2 linked regions of the Anolis sagrei genome follow. The protein of the gene in region 1 interacts with the protein of each later gene in a biochemical or structural test. Links are inferred from orthologs where the notes say so. Each region holds a gene or a part of one and is shown in the gene's direction. Other genes may lie near its edges.

Region 1 (10,186 bases):
ATGATGCCCCTTGACACAGATTGTGCCTTAAAGTGACCCAAAGGCTACCCTACCATAGGGTTTTCTTGGCAGGATTTGTTCCAAGGAGATTTGCTATTGATTTCCTATGAGGCTGAGAGAATGTGATGAGCACTGAGTCACCTCCATTTCAGTGGACTGAGGCCTCATCTTCACTGTCACAGAATGCACTGTCACAGTTTAAGTGCATTCTATGGCAGTGTAGATTAATATAATCTAGTTCGATGCAGTTAACTGCATTTTGAATCTGTATTCTATGGCAGTTCAAATGAGGCTTAAGACACACACACATACAGTAGGGTTTAAGAACACAATTAGGACTTAGTTCTGAATAAACATATCAAGACTGCTCTGTTAATTTCAATATTTTTGACAGTGCTATTTCACTACGCAGACAGGGCAAGCTCCGGCTGCTAGTCCCAGCTTCTGCCAAACTAGCAGTTCGAAAACATGCAAATGAGAGTAGATCAATAAGTACCGCTTCTGCAGGAAGGTAATGGCAATCCATGCAGTCATTCTGACCACTCCATGCAGTCATTCTGATGTAGGAGGTGTTTATGGTCATCGCTGGCTCTTCACCTTAGAAATGGAGATGAGCACCACCCCCCAGAGTCGGACACAAGACTTAATGTCAGGGGAAATCTTTACCTTTACTTCACTACAGTCTACCCTCCACCTCCATGGAATCCACCATCCATAGCTCAGAAATATTACCCACTTACCCTTTAAAAAAACAAAAAGTGGCAAAAACGAGTTTTGCTTTTCAAGCTGTGGATAGTTGAATCAGTGGATACAAAACCCACTAATATGAGGTCTCTTCCAACTCTTTGATTCTATGATTCTATATAATAATAATAGGCCTAACCCTTTCCACTCTCCCTTCTCTCCTGGAGCTGCAGACTTAAGAATCTATTTCCCTATCAAATCCTCATACTAATAAATAATATTTTACTCTACAAAAAATTGGATTGTGATTTGTCACTGCAATGTGGTATTGTATAGATCAGACATGGGCAAAATTTGGCCCTCCAGACATTTGGACATCAACTCCCACAATTCCTAACAGCCTACCAGCTGTTAGGAATTGTGGAAATTTGAGTCCAAAACATCTGGAGGGCCAATGTTTGCCCATGCCAGATATATATAGTGGAAATGTAATAAATGAATAATAAAACAGTCCACCAATACTGGCTGTATCTTGACCTAAGCCTATACATGAATTTCATGTATGTTTAAAATACACCTTATTCACAGGGCTGTTAGGAATTGTGGGAATTGAATTCCAAAACACCTGGAGGGCCAAAGTTTGCCCAGTTCTGACCTACACGATAGAAGCAATGCAGTTTAACATCAATTTTAAACTGCTCTGGGAGTTTGAGTTTTGTGAGGCACTTTGGTGCTGTTTTGCTGTTGTAGATCATCACCACATTATTAAATCACATGATGTAAATGTGTATGATGAGGCTTATGTGTTTTTAACTCTTCTTTGGTTGTCAATTAAGTTTTTAAGTTTATATTGATGCTATTTATTTGTTTATTTGGATTTGTTTTGTTGCTCACTTTGTCATTGAATATTTGCCCTTTTTCCCCTTCTGGAAACCACCCTGAGTCCTACTGAGGAGATAGGGCAGGTTACAAATACTTTACTTACCATATCAGAAGTAAACTGAGGGTACAGTTGTAATGCATTTTAAAAAAAACAGCAGCAACAGTTGAAAAACTTGGCATTATACTCTATGTCCTTTTGAGCTGGCCTCTGGTGTTGCTATAAGAAGGTCCTCCATTGTACATGTGACAGGGCTCAGACTACATTGTAATAGGTGGTCTGTGGTTTGCTCCTCTCCACACACACGTCGTGGACTCCACTTTGTGGTTCCAATCCAATAAGCCTTTATTGGCATATACATAGCAAAGAGGTATAAAATACAGTACAAATCATGGAAAAAGGAACTTAACTTTGTGGTCCCATTTCTTAAGGTTGGCTCTGCATCGCGTGGTGCCAGAGTGCAGTCAGTTCAGCACCTTCCAAGTCGCCCAGTATTCTGTGTGCCCAGGAATGGAGTGATCTCATTTGGTGTGGCTTGAGGTTCCAGGTTTTAGCCTGCCACTTTTGGACTCTCTCTTGCTGAGGCGTTCCTGCGAGTATCTCTGTAGGCCAACATTTTTTAATCTAGGGTTCAGGACCCCTGGGAGGGCATTGAGGAGTGTCAGAGGGGTCACCAAAGACCATAAGAAGACCATAAGAAAACATAGTATTTTCTGTATTGTCGAAAGCTTTCATGGACGGAATCACTACCTCTTGAGGATGCTTGCCATAGACGCAGGTGAAACGTCAGGAGAGAATGCCTCTAGACCATGGCCATATAGCCCAAAAAAACCTACAACAGCCCACAGTATTTTCTGTTTGTTATGGGGATTCTGTGTGGAGAGTTTGGCCCAATTCTATCATTGGTTGGGTTCAGAATGATGTTTGATTGGAGGTGAACTATAAATCTAAGCAACTACAACCCCCAAATGTGAAGGTCTATTTTCTGCAAGGTCCACCAGTGTTCACATTTGGACAGTGAGTATTTGTGCCAAGTTTGGTCCAGATCCATCATTGTTTGAGTCCACAGTGCTCTCTAGAGGTAGGTGAACTAGAACTCCAGAACTCAAGGTCAATGCCCACCAAACCTTTCCAGTATTTTATCTTGGTCATGAGAGTTCTGTGTGCCATGTTTGCAGAGACAGCCCTAGGTAATTTTCAAGGGTAAGCAAGCAGTATTTTGCCCCCCCCCCCAAAACAATGATTGATATATATTTTCTGTTCGTCATGGGAGTTCTGTGTGCCATATTTGGTTCAATTTAATCATTGGTGGAGTTCAGAATGTTCTTTGATTGCAGGTGAACTATACATCCCAGTAACGACAACTCACATATGTCAAGGTCTATTTTCCCCCAAGAGTGCCTCAAGAGTGCCCCTGGGCAAAATCAACTATACTGCAAATGCTTACTTTGCGTAATGGGTTGATCCGCCCCTGCATGTTTGGTTCTATTACATCATTGGTGGAGTTCAGAATGCTCTTTGATTGTATGTGAACGATAAATTCCAGCAACTATAACTCCCAAATTACAAAATAAGTCCCCCTCAACCCCACCAGTATTAAAATTTAGGTGTGCTAAATTTGGTCCAGTGAGTGAAAATACATCAGATATTTAGATGACGAATCATAACAATAGCTACGGAAATATTGTTATGGTTGGGAGTCAGCACAACATGAGGAACTGTAACAACAACAACAACAACAACAACTACTACTACTACTACTACTTTATTTTTATACCCCGCTAACCATCTCTCCTAGGGGTGGTTTACAAGGGACATGCCCCAGATTACAATTAAAACATACATGTAAAACACTTTATTAAGGGGTCATGGCATTAGGAAGGTTGAGAACCACTGAAATAAATTATTATTGTTGTTGTTGTTTAGCAGTGAAGGCGTAAAAAAGACCATGGTGGGACTCCCAACCCTGGTGCCTCCACAGCATTGAGCTGAGTTCAAGAGGTGCCAATCTGCACTCATGCTAGTGTAGATACCCCGTCCTGGTGTGGCTGGTTCACTCCGAGCCTTCAGAGGCATGCAACGGAGGTGGAGGGGGTTGCTTTGTTTTGGGAATCGTGTGAATGGGCCGTAACTTGAGCCAGTGTTGAAGGAGAGAGCGAGGCAAGGAGAGAGGGAGAGAAGGAGGGAGGCTGCCTGCCTGCCTGCTGGGCTCACTCCCTCTCGCTCTCTTTCTCCACCGGCTTTCAGAGGAGCCTCTTCGGCGCTGGAGGTGGCTCAGGAGTGGGCTCTGCAAGGGGCCAAGCTGAGGAGGAGCCCCCAGCTCTGCTTCCCCGCCGGGAAAAGGGAGGGCAGCAAGGAGAAAACCCGGCTTCTTCTTCCAGGACTTCTGGCGTGAGTCTCCAGGGGGGAGAGCGGTGGTGGGGCGGCTCTCCAGCGCGGGCTTCCCCTGCCTTGCCTTTGGGAGGCTTTGCAAACCCTTTCGGTGCACTTATGAAGAAGGGGAAGGGGAAGAGGGTCGGGTTTGGGGAGCATGCTGCATGGGAACCGGGACATTTCTGTCCGAGGGGCAACATTTTACCTTCTGTGCCGATACTGTATCTCTCCTGCTTGCTTTAAAGGGGGAAAGAGTGTGTTTTAGGGTGCCCCTGCTACACTGGAATGAATGCATTTGTTCAGTGCTCAAGAGGAAGTTCATTGGCATGGGCAAACTTCAGCCCTCCCTCCAGGTGTTTTGGACTCCAACTCCCACAATTCGGCTGTTAGGAATTGTGGGAGTTGGAGTCCAAAACACCTGGAGGGAGGGCTGAAGTTTGCCCATGCCTAACCTACACTGTAAAATTATTATTATTATTATTATTATTATTATTATTATATTTTCTCAAAAGGGGCCAATCATACATCTTAGAAAATTTACAGATAGAATTAAACTTAGAAGTATTAAACAATAGTGAAAACCACTAAAACTTATAATACTTTAAAAAGACTACATAACACACCCTGCCACTTTAAAGTGGAGCCAAACTGTGTTAAAAACCAATTGGAAGGCATACACCAACAAAAATCCCATATCCAAAATGTTTGTTTGGATCTTAGTGTGTATCTATCTGTATATATCTATACATATACATATCTATATGCATATTTATCTGTGTATGGGAGTTCCCGGTGGTGCAGATGGTTAAACTGCTGAGGTGCTGAACTTGCTGACTGAAAGGTCAGTGGTGCGAATCTGGGGAGCGAGGTAAGCTCCCTCTCTTAGCCCAAGCTTCTGCTAACCTATTTATTTATTTACTACGCTTCTATACCGCCATTCTCAGCCCAAGGGCAACTCATGGCGGTTTACAGAATGGCACAATTCAATGCCCACAACAGTACAAAAATAGTTTAAACATTAAAAATATTTAACATAGATAAAAAATTCATTACAATTAACATCAATAAACATAATAAAAAACCGTAAGTCCTCCGCATTTCGAACCTAGCAGTTCGAAAACATGCAAATGTGAGTAGATCAATAGGTACCTCTTCGGTGGGAAGGTAACGGTGCTCCATGCAGTCATGTTGGCCACATTACCTTAGAACAGTGGTTCCCAACTATGGGCCATGGCCCACTGGTGGGCTGCAAGACCTAAAATAAAGTCCACGGTAACACATTATTAAATATGGTTTTCTGTGGGTAAGCAGATGGTGACTACTGGATGGCATATGTTCTGTATCAGAAGCTGATGTAGCCTATCCAATGCAATTTTCTGAATCGGCACCCCAAATAACCAAACCAAATCTATAGTTGACCAAACCTGATTCATAACCCTTTTGGTACTAATGTTGGAGAGTAGTCCCTAGTAAAAGTGGTCCCTGGTCAAAAAAAAAAGGTTGGGAACCATTACCTTAGAGCAAGGGTCCACAAACTTTGTAAACAGAGGGCCAGGTCACAGTCTCTCAAACTGTTGGAGGGCTGGATTGTAATTTGAAAAAAAACATGAATGAATTCCTATGCACATGGCACATATCTTATTTGTAGTGCAAAAAAACCCACTTAAAAACAATACAATAATTAAAATTAAGAACAGCTTTAACAAATATAAACATTAGTATTTCAATAGGAAGTGTGGGGCTGCTTTTGGCTGATGAGATTGGATTGTTATATGTGCTTTCAAGTCATTTCAGACTTAGGCTGACAGTAAGCAAGGGCCGGGTAAATGACCTTGGAGGGCTGTATCCAGCCCCTGGACCTTAGTTTGAGGACCCCTGTCTTAGAGGCATCTACAGACAATGCTGGATCTTTGGCTTAGAAATGGAGATGAGCACCACCCCCCAGAATCGGACACGACTAGACTTAATGTCAAAGGAAAACCTTAACCTTTATCTATCCATGAGATACAGTGGGCCCCTGATATCCAGAGGTATCCCTTCAGTAAATACAAAAACCCATAGCTGCTCAAGTCCCATTTTACTATTCAAGGGTATCATAAAATTGTGTCCCTTATTATAGAATTCAAGCTTTGCTTTCTGGATTTTGCAAAACATATTTCAAACCCATGGTTGTTTGAATCCATGGATACAGGATACAGGAAGTTGACTGTATCTCAGGACAAAATTAATGCATTATACACACACACACACACACACACACACACACGTGTGTGTGTGTGTGTGCCTAAAGGTAATTTCATGCACAACATTTTTCAATAACTTTGTGTATGAAACAAAGTTTGTGTACATTGAACTAACAGAAAGCGAAACTGTCGCTGTCTTAGCTACTCTTGTGGATGATTTGAGCATTTCAGATTTCTGGATAAGAGATACTCATCCTGTACATAGAGTTCTTCTTCACTTTCTGCTCTGAATTAAAAAAAAGAGTACTCAGGGCAAAATTATGGGAGCCAAAGGATGGGGTATTTCAAAGTATTTTGAAAACTGAAGAGGGCACTTCTACCTTTATTTGTGTTGGAGAAGAGTGATTTTTAGTAGATGTTGGTGGTCAAGCACCCAAGTAACAAGTTGGGTGCTTCAACACCTGTGGAAACTCCCTCTTCTACACAAATGTTAAAGGTACAAGTATCCCCTCCTGTGTTCATTCTGGCCATCCTATAATATGCCATACTACCTGCTCTTTTGGTTGAGGCCTTGAAGTGCACAGGTATAGCTTTATAAACCCAAAGGTCCTGCTTTTTCTGGAATGTTCTCCCCCTCCCATTGTATTTCTCTCCCGGTTGCCTAGAAATCAGAACATGTTTTTAAAAAATGAAAATAGCCACAGATTCTAACGTTCTAGCGAAGATTGCAGACTTGTGATTCCTGAGGCATTTATGTTGGTCAGTTGTGGTGAGATGTTGTGCAAGTCTATCTTTAAATGGTGGGACTGTGAAGAATATGATGAAAGTGAAAATATTATAGGTTCTAACAACTAGAAATTTTACTTAACTTTGCAGAGTTGCATGTGGACAGATATGATATACTTTTAGTGTCTCGTGCAATGTTCTCTTGGGGAGCTAGGGCGGAATATCAATTTATTTATTTATTTATTTATTTATTTATGTGACATATATGTGTGCAAACTCTTTGTCTTTCAGGGTTTATCTGAATTTTTTTTGGGGGGGGGGGCGTGTGTGAATTATTGACAGAGATTGGGTACTGAGAGAGAACAACTCTTCCCAAACTGACTATAGCACAAAACTAGGGAATCAATGGCCTGACAATATGAATAACAAACAGATTTGGATGAGAATTTCCCAATTGCCATTGCACCAAATTATGGATCAGACATACTTGAGATGTGAGAGAAGAGCCTTCCAGCATTAGGCCAAACATCTATCTCTAGTCCACCATTTTGTTTTCCATTGTGCAAATTAACACAATTTCTGGAAAGGAAAATGACATAGCATCACTGTTTCCTCCCTGTACTTGGACTAGTTGTGGTCAACACAGGATTGGTACAGCTACTTTTACATTTTGTTTAAAAAAAAAAAACAAACTCTATTCATTTGAAAAATTAAAGTGTAGTATCAAGGTGCTGTAGAGAACAAAATCCCATCAGTGTGAGGTGGAGACTACATAGTGAAAAAATGGTAGGTGTGTGCACTTTGAGATGCTTGTTGACTTACAGCAACCTGATAGATTTCATAGGTAAGGAATACTAAGAGGGTTTGCCATTTCTTTTCTCTGAAATACATCCTTCAGCATCTGGGGCTTCTTGGTGGTCTCCCAACCAAGGCTGACCCTGCTTAACTTCCAAGATCAGATGGAATCTGATGTCTTTAGGGTATGCCAGGGAGCAGAAATAGCATGTATGTGCACATGCATCATGAGCCACTAATGTAGCTTGTTGTGTTTGTTTCTAATTTGAGAACAGGTGTCATATCCAAAAGGTACACAAACCACATGAATGAATACTGTGCTCTCTTGGCCTGTGGTTGGTCAGTGCAGCATAGATTAGTCTCACAGTGTGGTGAGGTTTGGAAAACTAAAAGCAGGAAAGAGTACTGCTTATGTCCTATTCGTAAAGGTCAAATATGTGATTATTAAGAGTACAGTAATGGTACTGAGAGTTCTTTATCAAAGGCAGCACTGGCAGCATCTGCTAACTTAGTGTTCTAACAGGTGTTCTCCCTCTCTGTCTGCTTTAATTTTCCACTCTTGCTATGAAGATAAACCACACTTGGTTGGGAACTTACACTATTGCCTTCACAAGGTCAGTACTTCATACAGTACACATTGCACCTGCATTGTTTTGCTTTTTTCTGCTCTGAAGAATAGAGCATTTAAATGGAAATAGTATTGATGCTTTCCTATTTGCCCTGTTCTGTCTTATGGACTACATCAGAGGCACAGCTTGGGAAAGTGACTGTTTTGGACTAAAGTTCTCTCGATCTCACAATGAGCATGAACATTGTCCATGCTTATATGGGTCTTGCAGGAAATGTAGCCTAAAACAGTAACTTTTCAGCATCTGATTTGGGCAAAGACTGGAGCATTCCTTATCTAGAATTCCAAATTCTCCAAAATCTGACCTTGTCTACATGAGTGGCTAGGATAGTGACACCTTTGCATTTTGACTCTTCAGAATGCACAAACTTTTTTTCATGCACAACATAATTTAAAATATTTTGTTTAAAATTACCTTCAACTATGTGCATAGTAGGGTGGCCAACTTTCGACCAGAAATTTAAAAGAGATTTAGTTGTGACAAATGTTACATATTTTTACCAGTGCAGTGTCACTCCAGCAAATATTCATGGAATGGATAATATTAAAGAAGACTTTTTACAAATCCTGTCCAACAGACCCAGTCTGCGTTTCCTCCTTGTTCTCCCTGTCCAGCTGGGTGTTTTTATCAACATCTGCATTGGGAGGGTTGTTAAGTAGGACCTGGAGCATTGAGTTGCAGCAGCACTGTCTGCAATAAAATCTGAAGTAGGAAATAATATCTTACTTGACCTGGTTGTTTCATTTCATGTATGCACATTGTTAGTTAGGTATGAAGGTTTATGGGAACATGGCAAACTTGTCCATCCCCTCTTTCTCCTTTTTCTCTTCTTTTTCCTTCCCCTCTTCTTACTCTCTGCCTTTCTCCTCTTGCTCCTCCTCTCTTCTTCTCCCTTCGTCCTCTACTCCTTTTCTTCTTTCCCCACCTCATTCTCCTCTCCTTTTTCTTACTCCTCCTTTCACTTGTGCCTGGGAACATAGAGGCGGGGGGCATCCCAAAGCTCCACCTCCTGTTCCTCACTGTAGGACTTCTACTGAGGCGGAGAGGGCTCACCTGGAGAGGGATTGGAAGAGAGAAACTGAGGCTGTACTACAATAGCAATCTGGGAGTTGGGATTATTCCAAAAATTATCTGAAATATGGAATAATGGAGAGGGGGTGTGTGCACTAGTATAAGGTGCTTATGGAATATAAACAGATTGGGTCCCATCCCCAAGATATTTCATTACCTACATATAGGTATTCCTAAATCCAAGACACTTCAGATGCCATGCATTTTAGATAAAGGTCTGGAGAACAAGCCCTATGAGGAGTGGCTTAAAGACCTGGGCGTGTTTAGCCTGAAGAAGAGAAGGCTGAGAGGAGACATGATAGCCATGTATAAATATGTGAGAGGAAGTCATAGGGAGGAGGGAGAAAGCTTGTTTTTTGCTGCCCCGGAGACTAGGACGTGGAACAATGGTTTAAAATTACAAGAAAAGAGATTCCATTTGAACGTTAGGAAGAACTTCCTGACTGTGAGAGCTGTTCAGCAGTGGAACTCTCTGCTGCGGAGTGTGGTGGAAGCTCCTTCTTTGGGGGCTTTTAAACGGAGGCTGAATGGTCATCTGTCGGGGGTGCTTTGGATGCAATTTTCCTGCTTCTTGGCAGGGGGTTGGACTGGATGGCCCACAAGGACTCTTCGAGCTCAATGATTCTATGATTCAACATATACTTCATTTTAATAGCATCAGGAACTGTTAATGGGAGAGGTTTTCCCTTTTAATGGTAAGAACAAAGCTGGGTTTTTTTTTTTTTTGAGGAAAACTCTATTGAAGAGAAGCAAATGCATGACTGTTCATAACTTCAGAATGATGAATCTCTGAGCAGGAACATGACGAAGTCTTAAAACCGCTTCAGACAGCTACAGATAAATCA
Region 2 (10,186 bases), on another chromosome or scaffold:
GCATTCTAATTTTCAAATAATGATAATGATGATATCATGCATGACCCTTCTCAATCACTGGATCTTTTCGCCATAATTATTTTTATTGATAGCAAAAAGGTACAATCACAAAAAGTAATTGAGACTGACTGCCATCTGATTCACAGGAGGAAATGAAAAGGAAGGTAAGAAAAAAACAAAGCAGTTGCAGGAGGAAAAAGCAGGGTGAGTTTTCCTTCAGAAATGCAGAATTTTTTTTTGTAACTACTAGAATAGAATAGAATTTAACTTTCCTTTTCCTGTTCCCTGTTTCCTCACAATATATGAACTAATCAGTTTATTTGTGGTAAGAATTCCATGCCATCACCCAGCTATTCGTGATTAATTACCAGTTGATGTTTGTACTTTTAATATTTCAGTTTCCTCTCACCTCACTTAATGACCTGCTCCCATCCAACAATGTGTGTAATCATCTGTCAGCTGAGACAACACTTCATGAATCTGTTGAAATGGGCTGCAGTTTACAAAGCTTTATGGCAAATAAAACTTATTAAAGCTTGCAAGTAGACACTACTGTTTTGCTCCAACAGAGTAACACTGTTACACTCAGAAAGTATTTGGTTTCATTAAAAAGAATCAAACAAAATATTAATCTGGTATGACAAATAGGGTTGCCAAATCTCAGCATCTGATCCTAAGCCTCAAATTTTCATTGGTTATTTCCAAGCAAGACACGAGGGTACAAATTCTGCAGTTTTGGTGAACTCAGCACCAGACTATCTTAAATAGTAGAATTGCAGTTTCCTAGAATTTGCAAGGGTTGTACTGTTGATGCATCTTGCAAACATTCTTCGTGGGGTGGGGGGTGTCTATGTATTTAGTTAGTTCCCACCATCCCTCCTGGCATCAAGATTTAGCCTCCATTCTGCATCCATCTTTTGGCTTAAATATTTCTTATGCTCCTTATCCTAACCACCTAATTTCACATTGATTTAATTACAACCCCTTTAGCAAAGTTTTTTTCCCTATATTTCTAAACAGCATAATATAGTGTGTGAGTAATTATCATGGGTACCTAATGCATAATGCTTGACACCACCAAAGACCATTCCTAGGTCCCAGATTTTGGCCTATGGACTTGTGTTTCTGAGATAGTTCTGAAATGGTGATCCTAGTGGCCAGCCTACCTCCACTGACTACATTAAATAAATGTAGAGTTAGTCCTTCCACATTTGAATCTGTTCCTCCAAAATCTCAGGTCAAAATAATCTGACTCAGTAAGCTTCGATCTGTTTACCCATCCATCCATCCTCACCTCTGGCCTTTTCTCAGCTTCTGCTTTCCTCTGAGTTGCGTTACAGCATGCAAGAAATCAGTTAATGTGTGTGTTAATGGTAAAATAAGATGTATGAAGCTGATTGGTCGGGCTGTGCCTGGGGAACAAGCTAAGCCTGGGATTTTTGGTCACTGTTACATTTTTCAGGCTTGAGCTATGCAGGTGCTCTGAGAGACGCAGAGAGAAGAAGAGAGAAGCAGAGAGAGACAGCATTTAGAGTGTGTTCTTGCTTTATGAGCTGCTAAAGGAGTTTCTCCACATGGACAAAGAAAGACTATTTTAAATCTCTCATAAAAGCACATTATGTGAACTGATGTAACTGATCACATGACTGTACATATGTTGTTATGAACTACAAAGAGTAAACTACTTGTTCTTTATTGTTCATATTTTCTTTATCTGGCAAGGCAGTGTGTGGACTGATTAAATGTGAACTACATGTGGTTTATTTTACATTATGCCACAAGTTTCTCTCATAAGCTGGCTATCAAAGGAAGAGAGTACCAGGAGTGATAAATTACACCACTATGCTCTTCCTGGGAACCTGAGCTACTATTATCTTGCTTTTCTCCCTTTCAGTGCACCTACCTTGTCCCATTCATTTCTCTGGCCCTTGCCTATTGCTGCTGCCATTCCTTCCTTATCCACTCCTTACGCTCTGCACTGCACCATCCACCTTCCCTTTCCTCTTTGTGCTACCACATCAACTTCCTTTACACCTTGTGTCACCTTCTCCTCTCTGTCTTGCTCATTACCTTCCTTCCCTCCTTCTTCTCTTTAAGGCATTTCTATCCCTTCTTTATGTGGTCCATCCCATTATTCAGTAGTCGAAAACTGGAAAGAGTGATAAGCCTTTAAACCAAATATCACATTTGTATCCAAGTTATTTAAGATAATAGGATTTAGCTCCAGAATATGGTATTGAGATCCCTTAATGCTTCCAGTGTATAGAAGGTCCATGTTCCTGGAACAAATGTTGCTGCCTAACAATGAATGTCTATGGACTTCCAAAGTCAACCAGGGAACATATTAATATAACAGAATATACAATATATTCCCTGGAAATGTATCAGATTATTTTTTTTCTTGTTTCAGTGTGTCATAATGTTTTAAAATGCTTAGCAGGGATGACTACATTTTGTTAATACTCTTGTTCACTTCTGTGCTGTCATCACCAACCCAAAGAATGAAATTGCTGCTGAGAAAATACTGGGTTCTATGTTCAGAGCTTTATAAAAACAGCTGTGAATTAGATATTATTCACAGAGATCAATATTGTTATTTAGACATGATCTTGCTAAAAGCGTGTACTGTTTTATCTTATGTGACTCTGTCTTGTTTCAAATGAGAAGTTCATTTAAGGCTAAAATAGGCAACATGTTGCCACTTTAAATTGCATATTCTATAGATTTTTTGGTCCTACAGAGTTATTTTACATGAAGCAGGGTATGACTCATGCTAATGGAAAGGGCAAAGAAGACTTTTTAAAAGAAATATATCACACTTAAATTAGTTTAGACAGCATGACATCAGAGAGTAATTAAATAGGTTTTTGTTGGAATTCCGCTTCCAATTCCTGAGTTCAGGTTTGTAAAAGATTTCTGAGCACCTGCAGGTTTCTGTGTGTGAAATATTTTCACTGGAAGGGATTCAAAACTTTTTTAAAAACCTTTTAACACAGAGGCAGCATTACGCCATTCTTCCTTCTTGGAAAAAAAAACCCTCTCCGATTTAAACAAGAGTCCTTCAAGTTTTTAGTCACTTTTACAGAAGAAAGGGGGGTAGTAAACTTTCTCTTTTCAAGAACAGGCTGCTAGCAGAAACCAGGAGAAGACGGAACGGAGTAAATGAGCATCTCCACTATGGGACTGGATACAAAGATTGGACAAGTAGATTTAAAGTGTTTTAAGCTGAAAATAAAGCTTTTCCTGCTGACTTTGGTTTTCAATTTCTTTCATGTTTTCTTATGCCAAACTAGAAGAGGAATCTTTTCTGAATTTTTCTTTGGAGGCATTCAAAGGAAGACCAGAGGATGAAAATCTTGCACTTTCTTACTTTACTGCTTTGGCACTTTTGTTGGTTTCATCTCGTTCTCATCTCCTTAGTGTTGAGTCCTGCTGAAGCAAGTCAAGGGAATCCAGGAGCCAAATTAGCTGTATCAAAAGTAGATGGAAAAGAGAGGAACCCTTTGCCAAGGGCAGGTACCTTTAGAACGGGAAGCCATGGATATAGCACTGGGAATTCCAAGCCAAGGACAAAAACCAACACTGCTCAAGCTGGAACTCTCGTGGCAAAAACTGATGACTCAAAGAAGGCTCTCCCTAAAGCAGGGAGCACAGACAAAAAGGTAGGAGGACATCCTCCAAACAGGCAAACTGGAGTGAGAACAGTGACTCCAAAGGTTCAGAACTTTGGCCCCAAAGCCCCACCGAAGAAAACTGGCACAGGGAATTCTGATGCCAGCTCTTATAAAAACAAAAAGCCTAAAGACTCTATTGCCCAAAGAGAATCTAAAGAGTCATTAAGACATCCTGCTATCACACCCCACGAATACATGCTTTCCTTATACAGGACTCTGTCTGATGCGGAAAGAAAAGGTGTGAACGGAAGTGTGAAACTGGAGACCGGACTTGCCAATACAATCACAAGCTTCATAGACAAGGGACAAGGTAAGAAAAGCTAATGTTTGGAGATATATTAATGTGCATTTGTTGAATATGAATGCTTCCTTTTTTTGTATTTATGGAAAGATGTAAAACGTGGCTGATTGCACACATTTTCATGTTTACAATGCAGATTTAAAGAGCATTTTCAGCATCAGAACTGGGATTTTGTAGATGGTTTATGCCGTTACTGTATACTACTAGTAATTTTAAGGCTATTTGGCACAAGGATTTAAAAATAATATATTCTGTGGAATGTGCATCAAAAAAAATATGATGGCGACAGAATGTATCTAGATGCATTATCGCTGGGACTTTAGTCAATATGAAACTTTCAATGGGTTCAACTCTTTAAGTTTGGATCTAAACAATTACTTCTCCAGCAGCAAGACCAGATCAATCAATATCTATTCAAGCTTTAACTATAAAGGCGGACTTAAGAAGAACAAGAATCAGGCCACCTCTAAATCTTTTTTTTTTTTTTGGGGGGGGGGGATCTGTAGAAATGAAATGAAATTAAATATACTTTGGTAAATATACATGTGATTTACTCTTGAATCCACTTTAAACCCAGTTGTTGCCTCCAGCACAATTCTAGGGTTTGTAGTTTAGGGAGGAGCCTTTAACAGCCTCACTAAACTATAAACCCCAGAATTCTGTAAGAGGCAGAAACTGGATTTAAAGTGGATCCATTCTCTAGTGTGATGAAGTAGTGACGATAACACTGGTAGAGGAATTTATGAGACCATTTGTATTTTTTTAGACCTTCACAAAGTCTATGTAACCTATATCAGAGCTTCAAAATTTTAGTTTTTTTCTGAAGTGGAACTCTCAAAATTTCCCAGCTAGTCAATATAATGATAGAGTCTAAGAAAGCACATTTTCCAAGCTCTGGATCAAGTGCTGAGTGCACAGTGCTCCCAGACAAGTGTCACTGGAAGGTGGGCTGCATACAACTTTGATTATGGAAAGTAGCTTTCATCCATCACAGATTCATGCATTCATTTTCACTGTAAAAGTTTTGGAAGTATGTAAACAAAGGCAAGGCTGTATATGAAGTACCATGAAGACTTTGGATGGCAATGCAATATACAGGTCGTGAAGGGGCTGGTTGTCAAGATTTAAAATATGGTAAGGCAAATATCTTTTTAGGTGATGGTACAGCTTAGATGCTTTATTTTCAAACTTTAAACATGCTTGACTGATGTGTGACTTTCTATTTTATTTTGTTTTCAGTCTGCCAGGGTTGTCTCCATTCATTTATCATAATGCATTACTAGTAAAGAAAGCCACAAACTCTCATTAACAGCCTAGTACAATAATTTTACATATATTTGAGTATAAGTTAACTTTCACTGATTAACCTTAATGTGGTGGAGGAAATGGCTCCTGACGATGAAGCAGAAATATTTCCATGTCTGAACTTGAATATTCTAGTAAACTTCTAATTCCTAACAGAGCTAATGTGTCATTTCAAATTACAGTAAAGTCTCACTTATCCAACATAAACAGGCCAGCAGAACATTGGATAAGTGAAAATGTTGGACAATAAGTGATTAAGGAAAAGTGTATTAAAACGTCAAATTACGTTATGATTTTACAAATTAAGAACCAAAACATCATGTTTTACAACAAATCGACAGAAAAATCAGTACAATGCACGGTAATGTTAGGTAGTAATTCTTGTATTATGAATTTAGCACCAAAACATTATAATGTATTGTAATAGCTGTGGATGCAGGTGGGAGGCAGACTGCATTGGATAATACAGAACGTTGGATGAGCAAAGGTTGGATAAGCGAGACTCTACTGTAACTGTAGACATTGTATGTTGTTTCAAAAAGCTGAAAACAAAAAGCAAATTTCTGTCTGAGATACATGAATGTCTTCCTTCTTTTCTCTTTAGATGACCGAGCTCCCACTGTAAAAAAGCAGAAATATATGTTTGATATCAGTGCCTTAGAAAAAGACGGCTTACTAGGAGCAGAACTTCGTATTTTGAGGAAAAAACCTTCAGATACCTGGAAGCCTCATCCTCATGGGAAAACATGCCAAGTGAAACTTTTCAGTTGCTCCACAAACCGGCAAGCGTCCATCCTCTTGGACTCTCGAACTGTCAATATCTTAGATACTGCAAAATGGGAAGTTTTTGACATTTGGAAACTTTTTAGGAATTTTAAAAACTCTGCTAACTTGTGTTTTGAACTGGAAGCTTTTGAAAGGGGGAGGCCTGTTGATTTAAGGACTGTGGGGTTTAATAGAACAGGGAGGCAAGTCAATGAAAAGGCTCTGTTTTTAGTGTTTGGTAGGACAAAGAAAAGAGACTTGTTCTTCAATGAAATCAAAGCCAGATCTGGCCAGGATGACAAAACTGTTTATGAATACCTATTCAATCAAAGAAGAAAGAGAAGGGCTCCTCTAGCAACTCGACAAGGAAAGAGGCCCAACAAGAATCTGAAGGCAAGATGTAGCAAAAAAGCACTGCATGTAAATTTTAAAGATATGGGATGGGATGACTGGATAATAGCACCTCTTGAGTATGAAGCTTATCATTGTGAAGGACTCTGTGAATTCCCTCTTCGGTCTCATCTGGAACCGACCAATCATGCTGTTATCCAAACATTAATGAACTCTATGGATCCAGAGTCAACGCCTCCAACTTGCTGCGTGCCAACAAGGCTGAGTCCCATTAGCATCCTGTTTATTGACTCTGCCAATAATGTGGTCTACAAACAATATGAAGACATGGTAGTGGAGTCATGTGGCTGTAGGTAGCAGCACAGCCTTTCACGTGGCTCTCTGGACAAAGCTTTTCCCAGCGGCTGATTTTAATATATGAACTTTGAACACTTCAATTCTATGGACCAGCACTGTATTATTACCCAAAGGGGGTTGCACTGACAATAGCTATAGTTGTATTTCAATGCTGGCTAGTTATGCATGTCTACTTTCTATGCAGCCTCTCAGCTGCAACCTCTGCAAGGAAACCACCAAACCTTGGACATGGATGATTGCCCAATGCTTTGGGCTCTGTAGTGGTGGAAATGCCCCTATGCATAGTGATATTATAATCGGTCACATCCTCAATTATTCTTCCACTGGGCACCTTGTCAATCCATTTCTGTGCCACTGAACAGCTGTGACACATCTGGAGATGTTTGTGATTGCCAGCATAAGAGCTCTAAAATATCTTGGCACAATCATGCCATATAAATTCATGTGGCAAAGCCATAGGTTATGCCATTGCACGAGTGTAGCAAGATTGTGCTTGTAACTAGTGAACTAGCTGATAGGCTCAGGCTATATGTTTTTGATAAAAACTGGAATTCATTCACAGAAGAAGCAGAATAACATTTCACTTATTGTATGTCTTTATTCTGGACACATTGTAGCACTAATTTGCTACTACTAGACCTAGTGGTGGCCTAAGATATTTTGGTGAGTGAAACAGGGCAAGATAAGGTGTTATTCCCACTCAGCCTTTTTGCCCCTCAGTCTTTAGGCTGCAGGCTTTAAAAAGCCTCATTGTATCATTCTGGCATCAGTTTATGCTCTAATTTCTCCATAATTTAATAGCATGGCATACCTGTCCATGCCTGGATAACCTCTTAGCAAGACGATGTAATACATCTTCCTCAAAGGACATTTAGATTTTCATATCATATTAAGTTTTGAATTTACAGGGACGTTGGCAAACCTAATGCCAATAGGTTCCTTAACACTGGTAGTTTGAAAGCCTAAATAATGTTAATCCCTCTCTACAGGATTAATCCTCAGTGTTCATTGTCAGCATATGCATTCATTTCACATGTACTTGAAAATAATCCTGATATCTTTGCAAAACACCATGATTAAACTAATCAATTTTACACAAATAGTTGTAAGCAACATTTCATACTAATTCTTAAGACTGTATATTTGATAGAATATTGATTTTCCTATAAATTGTACACAGACATGGATTTAGAGAACTTCGGGGGAACTTATTTCTTCCATTGTATATTATTTTTCTTAAATATCATGCTTTTAAATAGTATGTTCAGTCTGTTTTATTATTCTCCTTATCATGTGTGCTGTCTACTAATGGTCATAGAAAAATCAACTTAAGATGTAGTAAATTATTTGACAGTGTTAAGTGTATCTAGATGGCATAGTTGCCATAAATATAATTTTATTAGAAACTTTGTTTTCAGTGTTTTGTTCAATTAATAAAAATCAAAGAAAGCAGAAGCGAGACAGGCTGTTTTTATGAACATTGTATGGATGTGCATACAGCAAACATCAATCAAAGTTATTTTGTTTCAAGAGGACTCTAAAAATATTACAGAGAAAGTGCCATGACAATAAGTTGCAAAGGCTTTCTTGGGAAAAATAATTACTCCAAGGTCTATTTCACACTACATGGTTACAGTATTTTCGTAGCACTTTAAAAGCCATGGCTCCATCCTCTGGAAAACTGGAAGTGGTATTTAGAAATGTCTGCCACAGAGCAGCAGCAGCTCACAAAACTATTAGTCCCCAGATTCCATAAGACAGAGCTATAACTGTACAATATGTTATATTTGTGCAATGTGAAGCCTAATCAAAAACAAACAAACAAACTTACAGCTTCATCACACCAGAGTATGGATCCACTTTAAATCTGGTTTCTGCCTCCTGCAGAATTTTGGGGTTTGTAGTTTAGTGAAATCCAGGACCTACCTGGCTGAGCAGTTTAAAGACCCCTTCCTAAACTACAAATCTCAGAATTCTGCAGGAGGCAGAAAATGGATTTAAAGTGGATTCCACGCTCTAGTGTGATAAGGTCCTTAGAGCTGTGCACTGAAGCCCTTTGGCATCAATGGCCTTATGCATGCCCAACTCTGTTAGAATCATAGAATCAAAGAGTTGGAAGAGACCTTTTTGGTCATCCAGTCCAACCCCCTGCCAAGAAGCTGAGCATGGCTTTTTTTTAATTGTCCCTTGTCTTGACCATTTATATACACTTCCGCTTCTAAAGCCAGGTGCTTAGGTATCACACACACACACACACCACCTTCTAAAACAAAGAATGCAGAAATCTCATTACAAACCCTGATATATAGAAATAAGATTAATTGAAATCAGTCAGTTTCATGCCAATGCAATCCTCTGCTCCAAAATAGTGTATGGAATATATACTACTGAAACAACAAATATAGCCTATGGTCACTCAGCCAAGGAGGGAAAAACAAAGCCAGATAATATAGGAATGGTCTTAAAATGACAGACATAGCTATTTGGAAACTCAACCATGCTCATGAGACTGTCATGGAAACTGCTACTTAATTAATGTTCATGGGGATATACTCCCAGTGTACTTCTATCTCTTCCCCAATACTGCCATGCTCTTTCCCACTACTGCTATGCTATTCTGCACAGTACACCACAGAAAAACATTTTAAACCAACCAGGAAATGTTTGTTTTGAAAGGGTTTTACCTAGGTATGCCACTGATTTTCAGAAGCATGTTAGAGGAAGGTATGGGGTAGCAAAAGTGGACTTGGGGGAATGTACTACTCCCACCTGCTTTACAGAGAGGTTTCAAATTGCATTATGCACTATACAATCACTGTTTGGGAGCACAGCACACGCAGGGAAAACACAGCGCCCATTGATAGTTCCACAAAATATAGCTCATACATAGCTGCCTTAGTAAAATTAATGGAGGGGAGATATGCAACTTATCTAAAACTAGAAGACCCACCTATGGAGGGAAATATTCCGTTATCAAGCTGTTGAAGGGAATGGCTAGGCAATGTTACAAGAACAGCTATGCATATTGCATTTGCATAAGTTTTGGAACAGAAATGGGAAAAGTATGGCCCATATGTGTCCCATTAGAGCCATTTGTGCTCTAGCCCTAGAGTATGCAGCAAAGAATGAGGAGAGAGGAGATGCAGTACCTCCAGGGAAAGGGTGCAGAAGCCCACACAACTGTTGATGGCTTGAAACGAACACCACTGCAGGGGCAAAGTGAGAGGACAACCAGGACTTAAACCACCCCCTCTGAAAGCTTTCACCAAGGAGCTTCTGAACAATCAGTTATGTCAGAAGATTGAAATCAGACAGGTCAACAGCATTTTCCCCAAGGCTAACCTTAGCATAGTAGAACTGGGGATTAGGATTAAGGGAACCCTAGCTAGGTGTGACAGGTTATATTCTACATGCAGAATATTCTGGATTCAAC

Evidence for each region. The genes of interacting proteins can lie anywhere in the genome.
Region 2: the proteins of BMPR1B (region 1) and GDF5 interact in a biophysical measurement, tested with the Homo sapiens proteins (3 studies listed by BioGRID and IntAct, with this or other methods). The link is inferred for Anolis sagrei from reciprocal best matches to the Homo sapiens genes BMPR1B and GDF5.

The regions. Positions count from the first base shown.
Region 1 is NC_090025.1:23,796,998-23,807,183, forward strand, and holds the start of BMPR1B (bone morphogenetic protein receptor type-1B), read left to right. Parts: upstream 1-3,609; 5' UTR 3,610-3,955; intron 3,956-10,186. UniProt on the Homo sapiens protein: On ligand binding, forms a receptor complex consisting of two type II and two type I transmembrane serine/threonine kinases.
Region 2 is NC_090024.1:206,776,300-206,786,485, reverse strand, and holds GDF5 (growth/differentiation factor 5), read left to right. Parts: upstream 1-2,918; 5' UTR 2,919-3,347; coding exon 3,348-3,984; intron 3,985-5,884; coding exon 5,885-6,753; 3' UTR 6,754-8,136; downstream 8,137-10,186. UniProt on the Homo sapiens protein: Growth factor involved in bone and cartilage formation. During cartilage development regulates differentiation of chondrogenic tissue through two pathways.